Linked DNA regions of Coturnix japonica. The protein of the gene in region 2 purifies or fractionates together with the protein of the main gene of each other region. This does not show direct contact. Links are inferred from orthologs where the notes say so. Each region holds a gene or a part of one and is shown on either strand. Other genes may lie near its edges.

Evidence for each region. The genes of interacting proteins can lie anywhere in the genome.
Region 1: the proteins of ABI1 (region 2) and WASF1 purify together in Homo sapiens (affinity purification with mass spectrometry; 6 studies listed by BioGRID and IntAct, with this or other methods). This does not show direct contact. The link is inferred for Coturnix japonica from reciprocal best matches to the Homo sapiens genes ABI1 and WASF1.
Region 3: the proteins of ABI1 (region 2) and CYFIP2 purify together in Homo sapiens (co-immunoprecipitation; 4 studies listed by BioGRID and IntAct, with this or other methods). This does not show direct contact. The link is inferred for Coturnix japonica from reciprocal best matches to the Homo sapiens genes ABI1 and CYFIP2.
Region 4: the proteins of ABI1 (region 2) and EPS8 purify together in Homo sapiens (affinity purification with western blotting; 4 studies listed by BioGRID, with this or other methods). This does not show direct contact. The link is inferred for Coturnix japonica from reciprocal best matches to the Homo sapiens genes ABI1 and EPS8.

What each region holds. Positions count from the first base shown.
Region 1 is NC_029518.1:60,697,578-60,701,077, reverse strand, and holds part of WASF1 (wiskott-Aldrich syndrome protein family member 1), read right to left. Parts: intron 2,415-3,500; coding exon 2,280-2,414; intron 1-2,279.
Region 2 is NC_029517.1:14,486,412-14,490,527, reverse strand, and holds the start of ABI1 (abl interactor 1), read right to left. Parts: upstream 2,801-4,116; 5' UTR 2,643-2,800; coding exon 2,526-2,642; intron 867-2,525; exon of another isoform or gene 852-866; coding exon of another isoform or gene 843-851; intron 1-842. UniProt on the Homo sapiens protein: May act in negative regulation of cell growth and transformation by interacting with nonreceptor tyrosine kinases ABL1 and/or ABL2. May play a role in regulation of EGF-induced Erk pathway activation. Involved in cytoskeletal reorganization and EGFR signaling.
Region 3 is NC_029528.1:13,078,828-13,082,327, forward strand, and holds part of CYFIP2 (cytoplasmic FMR1-interacting protein 2), read right to left. Parts: intron 3,488-3,500; coding exon 3,340-3,487; intron 2,779-3,339; coding exon 2,611-2,778; 3' UTR 1-2,610. UniProt on the Homo sapiens protein: Involved in T-cell adhesion and p53/TP53-dependent induction of apoptosis. Does not bind RNA. As component of the WAVE1 complex, required for BDNF-NTRK2 endocytic trafficking and signaling from early endosomes.
Region 4 is NC_029516.1:57,642,518-57,646,017, forward strand, and holds part of EPS8 (epidermal growth factor receptor kinase substrate 8), read right to left. Parts: intron 2,546-3,500; coding exon 2,463-2,545; intron 97-2,462; coding exon 1-96. UniProt on the Homo sapiens protein: Signaling adapter that controls various cellular protrusions by regulating actin cytoskeleton dynamics and architecture. Depending on its association with other signal transducers, can regulate different processes.

The DNA.
Region 1 (3,500 bases), on a different chromosome or scaffold from region 2:
GAAAATACGAGAAAACACAGACTACTCAAAACATGCAGAGCTTTTTTTCCTTCTTTAACTCCATCAGAAACACCTGTCAAGCATCTGCACCTTTTTTAGTGAATCTGACTTGGGCTGGGCTTGTTCATGCTGCTTAGCTTTAAATGAATCTTTTTATTTTCCCCTTGTGTAATAGCACTGGGCCCAAAGGAACCCATTACATCTTCTATTACTGCCTGCTGGCAAAGAACTATCAAATGAGACTCATTTTGTAAGTATAGCCCATTTTACACATGCTGTTAGCTGAACAGAAATACTGAAATTTGCTTAATTCTTGCACAGAGAGTAAGGAAAATGCGAGATAAGTTCAAATGCCTTCCCCAGTCTTTAAGCACTACCATTCTCTAGCACATTTTAGCACAGACCAGGGCTAATACAAGATCATTTGTGATAAACTTGTAAATTTTGAGTGCAAAAGAGGATACTGAAAGTGAAAAGGTTTCCCAATCCCTGTTCTTTGAGAAAATATACTGTTTTCTACTCATCACATTTAACCTCGTCTGGTTACTCATCCAGGACAGACATTTGTGAATAAGGAACACTGGGTATGGCTCAAGGACTTCTTATGTTAATAAAAGGAGTCATTTAATAGCTCCCAGCACTGAGGACTGCATGTGTTCTTCTGATGCATGAACCATCACAGCTCTCTTATAGAGTAAGAGACAAATCCAGGGTATCAGATTCAAGTCACATTTAGTCACTCTGGCCTGGATCAAGCAGACTTATCTGTAGCTCAGTTTTCTTGAATTGCAACATCTGCCCCTTTTCTTACAAACACACTTTAATAAATATATCACACAAAATATGCAGCACTTCGAAAAGTTATAATCTAGTGCATCTGGAATATACTGTCTTTAAAAATACTTCCAGCAATTCTCTAGCATCAAATAGGTTTGAATATTTAGTAATGAAACCTACAACCAAACTTGTCAAAGGCCACTTACTGGAAAGTACAAATTTCCATCTTGTTATCCTGTGACATCCTTAAGACGTTTTAACTGTATAGTCTCCAAATTAAACCAGGAATGCGAATGGCTGCCATACCAGACCAGTCGTATCAACACAAATGCCACTCTGATTATAACAGTAACTATGTCGTTCAGGGTAAATGTGGAAGTGACATTAGCAATCTGGTGTGTTATAGCCATTAAAGGATTACAATTGCTGACAATCTATTATTGTACACAAAAAGGATTTTTGCCATTATCCAATCATAGTAAATATGGCATTTTATTGGAAAAAGAAGTGTGTATGATTTATGCTCAGCTGTCAAGAGACTTGGAAAATCCCATTTATGTAAGAATTCCCTTAGGCAAGCCATGGTTTTGTGGAAAATCTGCTACTAGCTGTTAACAGCTGTATTTTGAAACCTGCTCTAAAATAAATGTCATGCAAAGTACAGAATCTAAATTTCCTTAATTTGATTTTTCTTAATAGTGAAATTTCAACATACGTAAAAGGACGCAGCCAAAGACCACGTTACTGCTCTGACACTTCATTTTTCCTGAATGACACACCACTATCATACCTACACATTCAGAACTGAAACAGCTTTCTACACTTTAGAATTGGATACCACATTCCATCAGAAGTTATTTTTCATAACCAGATGCTGCTCTATTTTCCACATTTCAAACATGTAGCCTAGAATACCCTACTAACTGGGGTTACAGGATCTTTCCTTATTTCCCCATGTAACCAAGAGATATCTAGGAAGGCAAAAAAGTTTCCTATTTGAGTATTAGCTAATCTTATTGTCATATAGACACATCACAAAGCTCGCATACCATTTAAATCCAATAAAAATTCTATTTTGTAAGCACAAGCTACATCCTATTGAGTGTCAGAAGTACTTGTTTTCTTTGGGCCACTAATCTTCGTATTACTTAAAGCAACTTAGGAAAAATTTGGGGGAATAGTATATAACTTTACATACAATCTAAGATGCTATCAAGTTAAATGCAAAAACCCTATCTGGACAAACAATTACATACCAAGGCAATCATTAGGAAGGTTAAAAATATAAAATGAAGGCATACTCCCAGGATTTCCAATAATGTTACAAAGCACTACTATTAATATGAATCACAATAGTACTAAAGTTACACGTTTTCAAACAAACATCACTGTCATATTTTGCCCTGTGTTCTTATAAATGTAGTTTATTATTATTTCTATTTTATGTATCGGCGATGTTTGAGTGACAAAATAAGAAGCCTTCAGTACAGGTCTTAACTTACATTCCTCTTCTTTTGGATCAAGTTGTGTAACACTGACAGACAGGCGATCTACACGTTCTTGTAAGGAGTTGACTCTAAATGAGAAACTGTGCGCTTCATTGAAAAGTTCGCCAAATATATCTTCAGCATATTTACCTAAAACAGAAAAGAATAAAAAGATAAGCAGGCATACCCCACAAGACAAGCTTGCCTTTAGAATGATTTCTGATAACTACAGAATAAGTACATTTCAGGTGCATGACTACAATTTCCAACAGCCTACACTTACAAAGCAAATTCAGAATGCTTCAAAAATGTAAATAAAAGTTAAATAGTAGAAATTACTAAAAAAAAATTTTTAAAAATTAGAAATTAATTTACTTATCATAAATGAAATTATTTCATACATTACACGACAGACATTCAGCTGGTTTAAATTGACCCAACTATGCAGATATCCAAGGAGCTAGACCAACTAGCTTCTTGGATTTGCATAAAAGGATGATCTACAGCTTTTAAAGCTGCCTCTGTATGAGCATTAACTGAACTTTCCAGGTGAAATCAATCACATTTCTTAAAGCACAGCTCCCACTCCTGTGGTTCAGAAGACCTTTCAAAAATGATAGATCAGACGTCTACTTCTAAGTTTATTAGAAACAACCTAATCAAAAATGCACATTAGAATAATACACTATACTTTGAAAGGTCAAAATTCTAGTAAGTGGCTAATTTACACTGAAGTAGAATAAGAATTCCTTTTGTTCAGTTCAATGGACATCACTTTTAGTCCAGCAGATAAGGAGATTCAGGTCTGAGAAAAGGCTTAGTAATGTTCTAAATAAAAATGAGGACACAAGGACATTAAAAGGAAAAGTTAAATTGCCACAGGTGGTTTGTCAGCTATTTAAGGATACCAAATGGATGGAGGTCTGGAGAACAACTCTTATGAGGAGCAGCTGAAGAAACCAGGATTGTTTAGTCTGGAGAAGAGGAGGCTAAGGGAGACCTTATAGCCCAAGGTCCCCATCTCCCTTGTCAGAGATATTAAGATTGGATGCTAGGAAAAATTTCTTCTCAAAAGGAATGGTCAGGCACTGGAATATGCCACGTGAGAGGTGGTTGAGTCACCATCCCTGGAGGTGTTCAAGAAACATTTAAATGTTGTACTGAGGGATATGGTTTAGTGGGGAAATACTGGTGGTAGGTGGTTGGTTGGACTGGATGATCTTGGAAGTTTTTTCC
Region 2 (4,116 bases):
CAGGCACCCGTTCCACCCCCACACTACAACACAGCACAGGTGGTAACACACAGGAACAGTTTCCCCATTGAGGAGCACAGAGACTTTTCCGAAGAAAGAAAGTAAATGGCTCAAATTCAAAGCTAACCAGAGTGAAACAGTTACATGCTATGGGCCAAGCTACAATGCACATCCACTTCCGAACTCTTTTAACACTCAATACCCATGTTCTTTGTTCTGGACTATTATTATTATTTAAGTAAATGCACCCTGATGCATTGATTGGTAGTTAGCTGTCCCACTATATGAAATGCAAGCACTTGTATTTTGTGTTAAGCCTCTTCCTCTTTCTTCTCACCCCCTTTCCAATCCCATATAAACACATGCTCTCCCCATTCTCATAACCCAGCACCCCGTGTCACGCTGCCTAATCCTCCCGCAGCCTCACCACCACGATCTGCTCCGCGCTCCAACTGGAGAGCAGATGGCTTGGCACCAAGCGCTGATTAAAAAGTCCGCCTTTACCACTCTAAGACAGTAAATGTAGTTTTATCAATACATTTGTCATTTTTACCAAGTTGAGTAAATGCGTGACACATCCACAACATAGCCAGGCATACGTTTTTCAGAGCTACTGCGTAAGTCCTCATTAGGAACTTCAGAATGTCAGCTTCCTTCCAAAGAGGTAAACACAGCTGTATGCAGACAGACCATGCTGCAGCAATCCCTGCAGCCTATATTGGTACCCGAGGTGAAAGTCAGCTACCAGACTTAAAAATAAAATGAAAACACACCACCCCCAAGCGCATGGAAGGTAACTACCCCAAGTGTCGGTTTATTTCTTTGTCTGCATTAAGACTCACAAGTTCCATGGCCCTGAACAGCAATCTGACTGAAGCATCTCTAACTTTCTGACACAGAGGAAAAAGTCAGGAGCAGCAGCAAGTTGGGAGCAGCAGCAGGCAGGTCAAAACTTGTGCCGCGGTTACCACACTTAAGTATTTGTCATATTTCCCATGAGTAAAACCAAATGAACCTCGCCTCGTAGAAGCATTTCTATCAGCAGCTTTCTCTGGGTGGAGCAAACAAATCGGAAGAGTAAATACACATTAACTCATGTTCCCTCACATACCAAAAATAACAAAACGCCTCAAAATATGACTTGTTGGTGCAGTTTTAATCTGAGCATCAAAATCACTAAAAATAAAAATAAAATAAAATAAAAAAGAAATTCACACTGAGTTGTTAAAGCTTTATTTTCAGATTCACTGTTCCATTGCTACAAGCAGTAAGACAGCTCACTGGCAACAGTAGATGACAAAGATGTGAATAACCTGTATTAAATGCTCGCTGTAGGTAACCCTAGCATAGCTTTGGTTGGAAGGGGCCTTACAGACTGTCTACCCAGTTCCACCCCTGCCATGGGCTGCTTCCCAGCCAGCAGCTCAGGCTGCCCAGGGCTCCATCCAGCCCAGCCTTGAGTATATCCAGGGACGGGGCACCCACTGCTCTCTGGGCAGCAGTGCTAGGGCCTCTAATACACGAGTAAATCCACTGTTAGGTTCAACAAGTTCACTGCACGAGCAGTGCTTCTAGTAAAGGGAAAATTATTTGCCTTCCCTTGCCATTTTTCTTTCCCAAAAGAGGTTTGATTTGAACATTTCCTGACGGTTCCACATCCACATTGGCATGGCTGTATACTCAGACTCACATTCAGAGTCGTGAGCTGCAAATCTTGACCAAAAAATAATAATAATAATGACAGAAAAGCTGGAGGTAGTTGCACTAAATCAGCCGTAAGTGAAGAGCAGGAAGCACGGGCCATGCACGGAAAAAGCCCACGCCGGGCGCTGTGGACACGCCGCAGCCCCGGAGCCTCCAGCAGCAGCAGCTCCAGGATGTCGGACCGCGGCACGGATTGCCATTTTGAAACACCACATCACGCCCGCCCGTCAGTCCCCGCACACGGGCGCTCCCAGCTCCCACACGCCGCCCGTTTCGGCGACCAGCCCCGCGTTGCGGCACTACAAGACGGCGACCCACGGCCCGAACGAGCCACCACCGCCGTTGATTCCCTGTGAGGACGGCGTTGCTCGGTGCCCGCCAGGCTCGGCCGCGGCGCTGCGGATGGAGCGAGGCCGCCTCACCAACGGCCGCCAACCGCCGCCCCGGGAGGGCAGCCCCCGAGGCGCCGGCTCCGAACCGGCCGCAAGGAGAAGCCGCCCCCCCCCACCAACACACACACCCGGCCCAAGGAGGTCTCCGGGATGTGACTCATGAGGAATACACACGGAGGGGGAGGAAGGAAAAAAATATATTAAAAAAAAAAAAGACACACCCTCCTCCTCCGAGCTGGACTGACATAATATAATAAACCCCCTCCCTTCCCCTCCGGAGCCGGGCTGGGGGGGGGGGGGGGGGGGAAAGCCGGTTGTTCGGCAGCGAAAGTTGAAAGAAAAGGCAAATCCGGGGGAGCGGCGGAGCTGCCCCCGAGGCGGCTCCGGCCCCACGCACCCATCCCACCCCGCCCCACAGCCGCCCCTCACCTGGATGTAGTTGTTTTCGCAGTAGTCGGCGACTCGAGTGAGGTTCTGGTAGCTCTCGAGCAGAGCCCGCTTGCCAGAAGGGATTTCCTCCTCTAGTAACATCTGCAACTCTGCCATTTTCCACCCCTCCGCATCGCTTCCTCTTGCATTAAAGAGACAGCGGCAGCGCCGGGCTCACAACCCGCCTGGTATTGTGGGATTCCTCCTCGCCTCGCTTTCGTGAGCGCTCAGTATCCCCACCCATCCTGCCCTCACAGGGGAAAAAAATAAAAAGAAAGAAAAAAAAAAAGAGACAAGACCCCGCCCGCTCTCAGAGCACGCCGGGAGCTGTAGGCGCCGGCCGCCCCGCCGTGCGCATGAGCGGGGTGGGGTCGGTCATGGCGCCGGGCAGCGCCGCCCGGCGGGGATGGAGGTGTCTGAGCTGGGTTGTGTTGTGTCAGGCGGCAACAAAAGCCCCATGTCCGCTCCTGCTGCGCTGTGTTAGTGTCGGCTCCTCAGCAGAAGGCAAAGGGCTCCATCGGGGAAGCGCTGCTGCCTCTGTTGTAGGAGGTTCGGAGAAACCTCTCAGATCCCGGAAAGCAAATGGGATCCTGGGCTCCATCAGGAGAGGGGTGGTCAGCAGGGATAGGGAGGTGATCGTCCCTCTCTACTCGGCTCTTGTGAGGCCCCATCTGTTGTACTGTGTCCAGGTGTGGAGCCCTCAGTACAAAAAAGACATGGAGATTTTGGAAAGGGTCCAGAGGAGGGACACAAAGATGATCAGGGGGCTGGAGCACCTTCCCTATGAGGACAGGCTGAGGGAGTTGGGTTTGTTCAGCCTGGAGAAGGTTGCGGGGTGACCTCATTGCAGCCTTTCAATACCTGAAGGGAACTTACTCCCAGGAGGGGAGTAAACTCTTCGAAAGGGCTGACAATAGCAGGACTAGGGGAAATGGTTTTAAGTTAAAAGAGGGAAGATTTAGGTTGGATGTTAGGGGGAAGTTCTTCACTAGGAGAGTGGTTAGGCCCTGGAACAGGCTGCCCAGGGAGGTTGTGGATGCCCCGTCCTTGGAGGTGTTCAAGGCCAAGTTGGACGGGGCCATGGGCAACCTGATCTAGTAAAGGTGTATGTTTGGTGGCCCTGCCAGGCAGGGGGGTTGGAACTACATGATCCTTGAGGTCCCTTCCAACCCGGGTCAGTCTGTGATTCTGTGATCGTCTAGTCCTGCCATCAGCTCATTTTCACCGTGTTCCTCAGTGCTGCATCTACTCTTTACTTGAACACCTCTCTCATGGGATGGTGACTCCACTGCCTCCATAGCAGCCCGTTCCAGGGCCTCACCGCTCTTTCTGAGGGGTTTTTCCTAATATCCAACCTGAGATTTCCCTAGTGCAGCTTGAGGCCATTCCCTCCCCTGCTACTGTTGCTACCTGGGAGAAGAGGCAGACCTCCACCTCACAACCTCCCTTCAGGCAGTTATAGAGGGAGAGAGAAGGTCTCCCCTGAGCCTCCTCTAGTCTGAACAACCCCTTAGCACTCCCCACAAGCCTTGTGTTCTAGAACCCTCATCAGCTTCATTGATTGCCCTTCTCTGGACACCCTCCAGGGCCT
Region 3 (3,500 bases), on a different chromosome or scaffold from region 2:
ACTTTGGACATTTTGCTCATAATGTTTCATCCCTCAGAATCAGAAGGGGTTTGTTTCTGACAGCAAATCTGAGGGCAAAAAAAATGTAGGTTTCCTTTACCTTTTCATTCAAATACACCCAACTGCGTTTTGCAGGGTTTGTGGTTTTTTTTTAAGAGAATTAAGCCAAAGCTACAGCAAAAGAATGCAGTTAGAGTCATGTTTAGGTAAAAATCTTCTGTCTCACTGCAAACCTAAACAGACACTTATATTCAACTTAGGGTATCCTGTTCTTTCCATCTAGCTGTGACTGGGCTGTGTGGCATAGCTCATCCTTTTGTGTTCTTGCTCCTGCTGGTTTCTGCCAAGGCTCCAACATCCTATAACGTATCAAGACATCATAGAACATTCAATTTGTGCTGTGCTCAGAAACGGCTCTGAGAGCCAGTCAGGGATCTGTGCTGCTTCACCAGCAACACTTTCATACCAAAATAACAAGCACTTGCTATTTAGGTCAGGAAAATAGGATCTTGGTTGGATCTATATTCCTCATATCTTGTTTTCCACAAAAAATAAAGTGCTCAATTCTCCTCTTCCTTTTAAAAATATATATCTGTAAGCTCCCTCATTCCAGTAGTTTCAGCATTGTGAAGTGTTGGAACGTGATGGAAAACCAGAACTGGCATCCTTAGTGGAGAAAGTAAATAGAGAGCAGGAGTCCTTTGGTATTGTTGGGTCTTGGGCACTCTTGTGGTGCTCTTCTTCACCATGTGAGGAAAACAACTTGCCTCCAGAGGCTGGATCCTTCCCTGGCACCCAAGGGGTTCAGCCTGATCTCCTGAGATGCTATTTGACTATCAGATTACTGTGCTGCACTGCTTCCTCCCAGAGGTTCAAGCATTTGTCTCAGCAATTAATGGAGAACTGAGGTGTAAAGATATCTAGCACTTGCACGTGTGGGTTATTTGTTGATTATGAGGGAGTGCATGTTTGGGAGAACAAATGCATCCCACACAGCAGGATCTCCTTTAGCACTAGTACAGTGCTGGCTGTTGTTTTCTAAGACAGTGCATTCCAGCTGGGGTGTTTCTACTAATTAGTTATGTATTTTCTTTGAGAGAATAAGGACTCAGGCTCTGCCATTTCAACATCTGTAGTAGCATGCAGGTTTCTGGGCATGATGGAACACATGAAAAGAACATGTATTACCAAGTCTGTCTATTTGAATGGTAAATATCTGCGATGTCCTGGCTAAAGCTGAGAAATAAAAATATCACCAGTGGTGACATTAGCATAATTTGGAGCATGTGGTTTGATCTTTAGATTCAGGCATAAGGTTTTGTGTCACTGCAGTGTCAGCACCAAGGGGAAGCAGGGAAAACCACAAGCTTTTAATATCTCCTCAAGTCCCTACTGAATTTGTTCTCAGTATCTAATATATCCAGACATATTAGATGAGCTGAGTAGGAACAGGAAACAGATTCCAGCATTCCCTCACAATGATTTTGAGCCTGGAAAATGCTGTTTTCATTATGCTTATCCTATGATTTACCTTTTCTAAAGAATCACACCATTTCTGTGCGCTAGGAAGTTTACTAAGCCTTCCTGATAGACACCATTCTCTTAAGAAGTAGTTGCTGTGACTAAAAATTTGTTTAAAACAAGGGAAAACAGCATGTCAGAACATACAAAAATTACACATCCCAGCTCTCATCCTTGGCTGAATTTCAAAGATCACATATGGTCAAGGTAAATACAACTGCCTCCTGTCAGGATTGGTGTCTGTTTCCACCCAAGTTAGTATGTGCAAAAGCATATTCACATGAATCCAATACAACCCCTTCTATGGTCCATAAGAAATTTCATTTACTTCATGGAAGATGTGTCTTCGAGGGAGAACCCTTTGAAATAAAATAAGCAGACATCCCAATAGCAGGGGAAAAAAAAAAAACCAAAACAGGCCTTTTTTGATTCCTCCAGCTCTCTGAAGTGCTGAAGAATTATTTGGCAGCTACATCATTGCTATTCTGAAGCCCAGGTGCCAGATGCTAGGAAGGCCAATGACTTGGCAGAGAGCAAGAAGAAATCCACAACCATTCTGGCATGGCTCCTCTGCACTGCTCCTTCCTGAGGCTGCTGCTATAGGTGGAATCCTGCCTTCATCCCCCCCAATTCCCAAAAAGAAGTCAGGGTCTGTCTTCAGCCCTGGTGGCACGTGTCATGAGTGGGGTTGATTTTTCCCCATTGCTTCTGCAGTGAGATGGGGCTCCCAGTGCAGTAGAAACACGCAGCTCTTCTGAAAGGGTCCCCCACCTTTGGGGCTGCAATATGGCTTCAGATTTTTGTGTTTGGCTGGATGAATCACAGGGAAAACCAGATTTCATGGAAGAAAAGCACATTTCAACCTCCCACCCCCACCCACTCCCAAGTCCAAAAGTTACAAGTAAAATTGGTCACAGGGATGGAACAGAAGAACATGCACTCAACAGGGCCAGATGGGAAGATAAGTCCTTGTAGTGAGCATACCCAGTCTTACTTTGTTGCCAGGTCTCACGCCATCAAGTTCATCCTCCCAGTCATCCTGGGCTCAGTCTCTTCTCCCTTCCCAAAGCACACAGGGTTAGTGTCACACTAGCAGGTGGTGGCCAGTGACTGGTGAATGGGAGGCTGGAAGCAGCGCACGTGCTCCACTGTGGAACTGTCTGTTTCCACTGACTTCATGTACTTGTTCAGGATGGCAAAAATCTCATTGTTGAGGATCTGATACTTCCTTATCCTGTCAGCCATCTTTTTCAAGGGCTGGAGGAATGGTGAGAAGGAAAAACAGTAGGTCAAGAGAGTCTTATGTCATTTAACCAGCCAGAAAGCATCAGTACATCTGCCCTGCTGCTGAGAAACCTCTGCTAATACAAAGCAGCTATAGCACGTGTTACAGTTCCACTTAGCAGCTACCATGAGACTGGTGACTCACTTCATTTTGGGGTTTGATGACTCAAGACAGAATTAACAAGGTCAGTGTGTGGTTCTATGTAAATCGATCTAGAGTCTGGACTCCCAGCTGCTTATTGATGAAGCCGCAGAGATCAGATAATGGTTGATGGAAGTACCAGCTTCTCTGCTCCAGCTTCCCAACCCCAGGAAGAAAGGAAAAGCTTTGGGAGAAGAAAGATTTGATTGTCAAGCCAATTAAAATCCTGGCCTCTCTGCTGAGACTGCAGGTGGATATCTCACAGCAAGCATATTCAGCTTGAATAAGATCAATGCCTGGAAAGTTTGTAAGTTATAAGTTTGAACAAGGCAAATCAAAAAACAGAGATGTGTGCTAGCTCAAGTCTTTCAGAGCCTTACCCTTCAACTTACCACATTTTTAATGATTTCATCCTTCCCGTCCTGCCTCTGCACCTTCAGCAGGTGGTAGCAGAAGTCAAATAGGTCAAAGCGTCGTTGTTGTCCAAGGAGAACAATGATAGAACAACCTGCCCAATTCAGACCATCTCCAAAGCACTGCCTAGAATGGGGAC
Region 4 (3,500 bases), on a different chromosome or scaffold from region 2:
CGGCTTCTCACATCCACCTGGGTGACAGTCCCTGGGGGAACAGGGGCAGGAGCCCGTGGTGGTGGAGGGATAGCGCCATCAGCACTGGAGATCATCCTGCAGGAAGACAAAGGGGCCCATCAGTGAAGTCAACACATTTCTAGTGCGTAATCAGAGAAGAAAACAAGGTTTACCAGGACCCTTTTACTGTCAAACATGCTATGGACTTGCCAAGTCACAAGTACTAAAGGTCAGGGTATGTAAATAGATAAAACATAACAGGAAACCCTTGCTATGATGAAGTTAGAAAAATGTGCATCAATAAAACAAATAGTCTTTCACGCAGCCCATATATGGGACACAGTTTAGTGGGAAAAGGGGTGATGGGTTGATTGTTGGACTTGATGACCTTAGTGGTCTTTTCCAACCTTAATGATTCTATGGTAAATTCCAAAGCACTGACAGAAAATGTGCTGTCTAGAGATCTGATTGCTTCTATGGCTAGAAGCTGTGCTTTGTGTACTGATAGTTAGACTTGAATACTGTTCTAAATTCTTCATTCAGAGTCATCTTTCAGCCATCATCAGTTGTGTACCTGTTCCTTATGTTTGATGGGTTGACAACGAACAGCTTCTTAAAACCCTACCAACAAAAACATTCACAGGATGATTTTCCTTTTTAGATCAATCTGTTCATCCTATCTTGATGCAAATGTATGACTATTCCTATTTTGAATTTTCATAGAATCATAGAATGGCCAGGGTTGAAAAGGACCACAATGATCATCCAGTTTCAACCCCCTGCTATGTGCAGGGTCACCAACCACCAGACCAGGCTGCCCAGAGTCACATCCAGCCTGGCCTTGAATGCCTCCAGGGATGGGGCATCTACAACCTCCTTGGGCAACCTGTTCCAGTGCATCAACAATCTCTGTGTGAAAAAATTCCTTCCAATCTCTAACCTAAACCTCCCCTGTCTCAATTTAAAATCATTTTTCCACTTTTCTGGTTCTTAATCCGCCTTTAAAAACCATAAGGAAAGAGATCAAACCACAAGGAAAGAGATCTTTGAAGTCATTCTGTAATTCAGTATCAAAAGACAAAAAATCCCAACAAATCCTTTGAAATGCACATTCCATCCCTATTTAAAAGAAGGATCTTCATCTTAAATTCTTCACTTTATGATCCCATCTCATTCATGGCATTCAACAACAGCAAAAACACAATTTGGTCATTCATAAAAAAAAAGATGGTTTCTTCACAGTTCCTTCCTCCGGTCTCCTAGAGTTTCCTGAGCATTCTCTTTTGTATCTCCTACACTTTTTTACTTGCAAATAATCTTGCAGCAATTTGATGGTGCAGTGCCAGACTTACTACAGTATCTCCAGACTAGTCAAACAGGACCCATCTAGAAAATGCTTTCTTCTCGTGGCCCAATGTTAACACATACATGACATGACAGCAAGTATCTAGCACTGAACTGTCATGCACTAATGACCTTTAGGCCTCAAAGCTTTTAGAGACTGATATGTCAGATTACTTTTCCCTGTGGATGTACTGACCTACATTCATTTCCTAATTAAATCTCATCAGCCTTCCCCCACACCCAAAGTGCTTGAATCCTTGTGATACACATCTCTGTGCTTACACTTATCTGTTACCATACCTCAAACATTAAAGCCTACTTGCTTAATTTTAAACCCATATGTAAAATTTGATGCACTTCTTCCTTTATATTTTTCATTTCAATGTAAGTGTCCATCATTCTATGAAAACAACACAAGTTGCACATCAGAATTTAATAGGCAACTAAGGCAGCAATAAATTTATATAATAGTGACATTTTTACTTGAAGATTTTTGTACAGCAGAGAATTCTCTTACTGAGCCAGAGAAATATTATTGAGAATATCTTCAGGATGCAGCACACAGACCACCACCATCCTATTCAGTACTTAACATATTTGTGCCCTTGTTTCTATGCCTGCACCAGCTACTGCTCATTTCTGTAATAATCTGAAGCCAACAGACCCTTTTACTCCACTTTTTCCAATTGGGAGAGAAATTTTTCCTACCGGGGAAACAAGTTTTTCGAGTCAATAAGCAGGCAGGAGTTTTTTTTTCATCTTTAGTTGTTGTTTTCTTTAACATCTTCAGATCCCCAAACTTTCCTTACTTGGAATTTGGGAACATTTATATATTTAATTCAAATTTTGAACTACTTTACCCAAATACAGAACTCAAGACACATAATGCTATTCTCTAGCAACCTGCATTCACGTCAGCTGTTCCACTTACTAAAGCAGAATTGGGAAAGTAAAGAGTGAAACTATAATCCAAGAGAGCTTGACGTAGTAAGTCAAATCCACCACATATGCTTTTTGAAGTATATTATCAACTAGACAAAACAAAAGAGAAAGAAACAGCAGACAAACTTGGGGCATGCTTCATGACGCCCTATACTGCCAAGAAACTAGGTTTTTACCTCAGTGTTTCAAGTCTCTTCTTCTGTTTTCCACTCTTGCTGTCACTGATTGCACTTTCTATATCTTCATGAATAAAGCTAGCCTGAAGAGACAGAAGCAGAGTCTGTCAGTTCTCATCTAGACTAAGCAGATATATGAATTAATGATCTCATCATGTACTTCATGAAGTTATCTGTTGATTACAGAACCTCTTATCGTATTCCATTTTAAAAAAGAAAAAAAGCTGGGATTTGTATGGAAACAGAACAAAGAAAACACGGTACCATTCTCTGGGAGCTGGTACTTTAGTCACTTTTCCAGGCTCAAACATTATCATCAGGTGGATGTGTTATCTAGATACTAAATTTGTCTGAACAGTTGTAATTATCCAAAGTCAGCAATTACTGCATGAGCTATTTTTCCCTCTCCATTTTTTTTTTAATTAATTATTATTTATTTTTTTATTTTTTTTTCTGTCAATAAATAATGGTAGCATGAGAATCTGGAAAATAACTAGTAGTAATGCAGTCTCCTGTAAGAAGGTAGCCTCCAATTTCTCTTTAGCTTAATAAAGATGAATTTTTCAGTATATTTCCTGAACTTTAGGTTCCTATATCTCCATCACTGGAATCTGCCCCCACCGGAGGCCTACAAGAGAAATTCTGATACGGCATTATTTTAATAGACCTTGCATTAAATAGGTCACAGCTTCTCACAGGATTTAGGATGCTCTGTTACATATCTTGAGCTGACAAATTAATTTCCTATACAGCTTGTCAAGACCCAAATCTGTCCATGCCTAGTTCATTCTACAAGTCCCACTTCTACCTTGGAATAAAAACATCTAACTTCTTAGGAAGAATATATAACTGCTGGGACAAAACTACATTGAATTTAGAGATTAACAGACTTTTCAGACTACAGTGGGATAGATGAGGGTTAAAGAATTAATTGAACACCTTGACAGGCTTTGAGGAACAAAAGCATTTCATGAATTTCACTATTTATATTTATTATTTAACAATTGTGTTTTTCTAGAAAATACCGACTGACCAAAA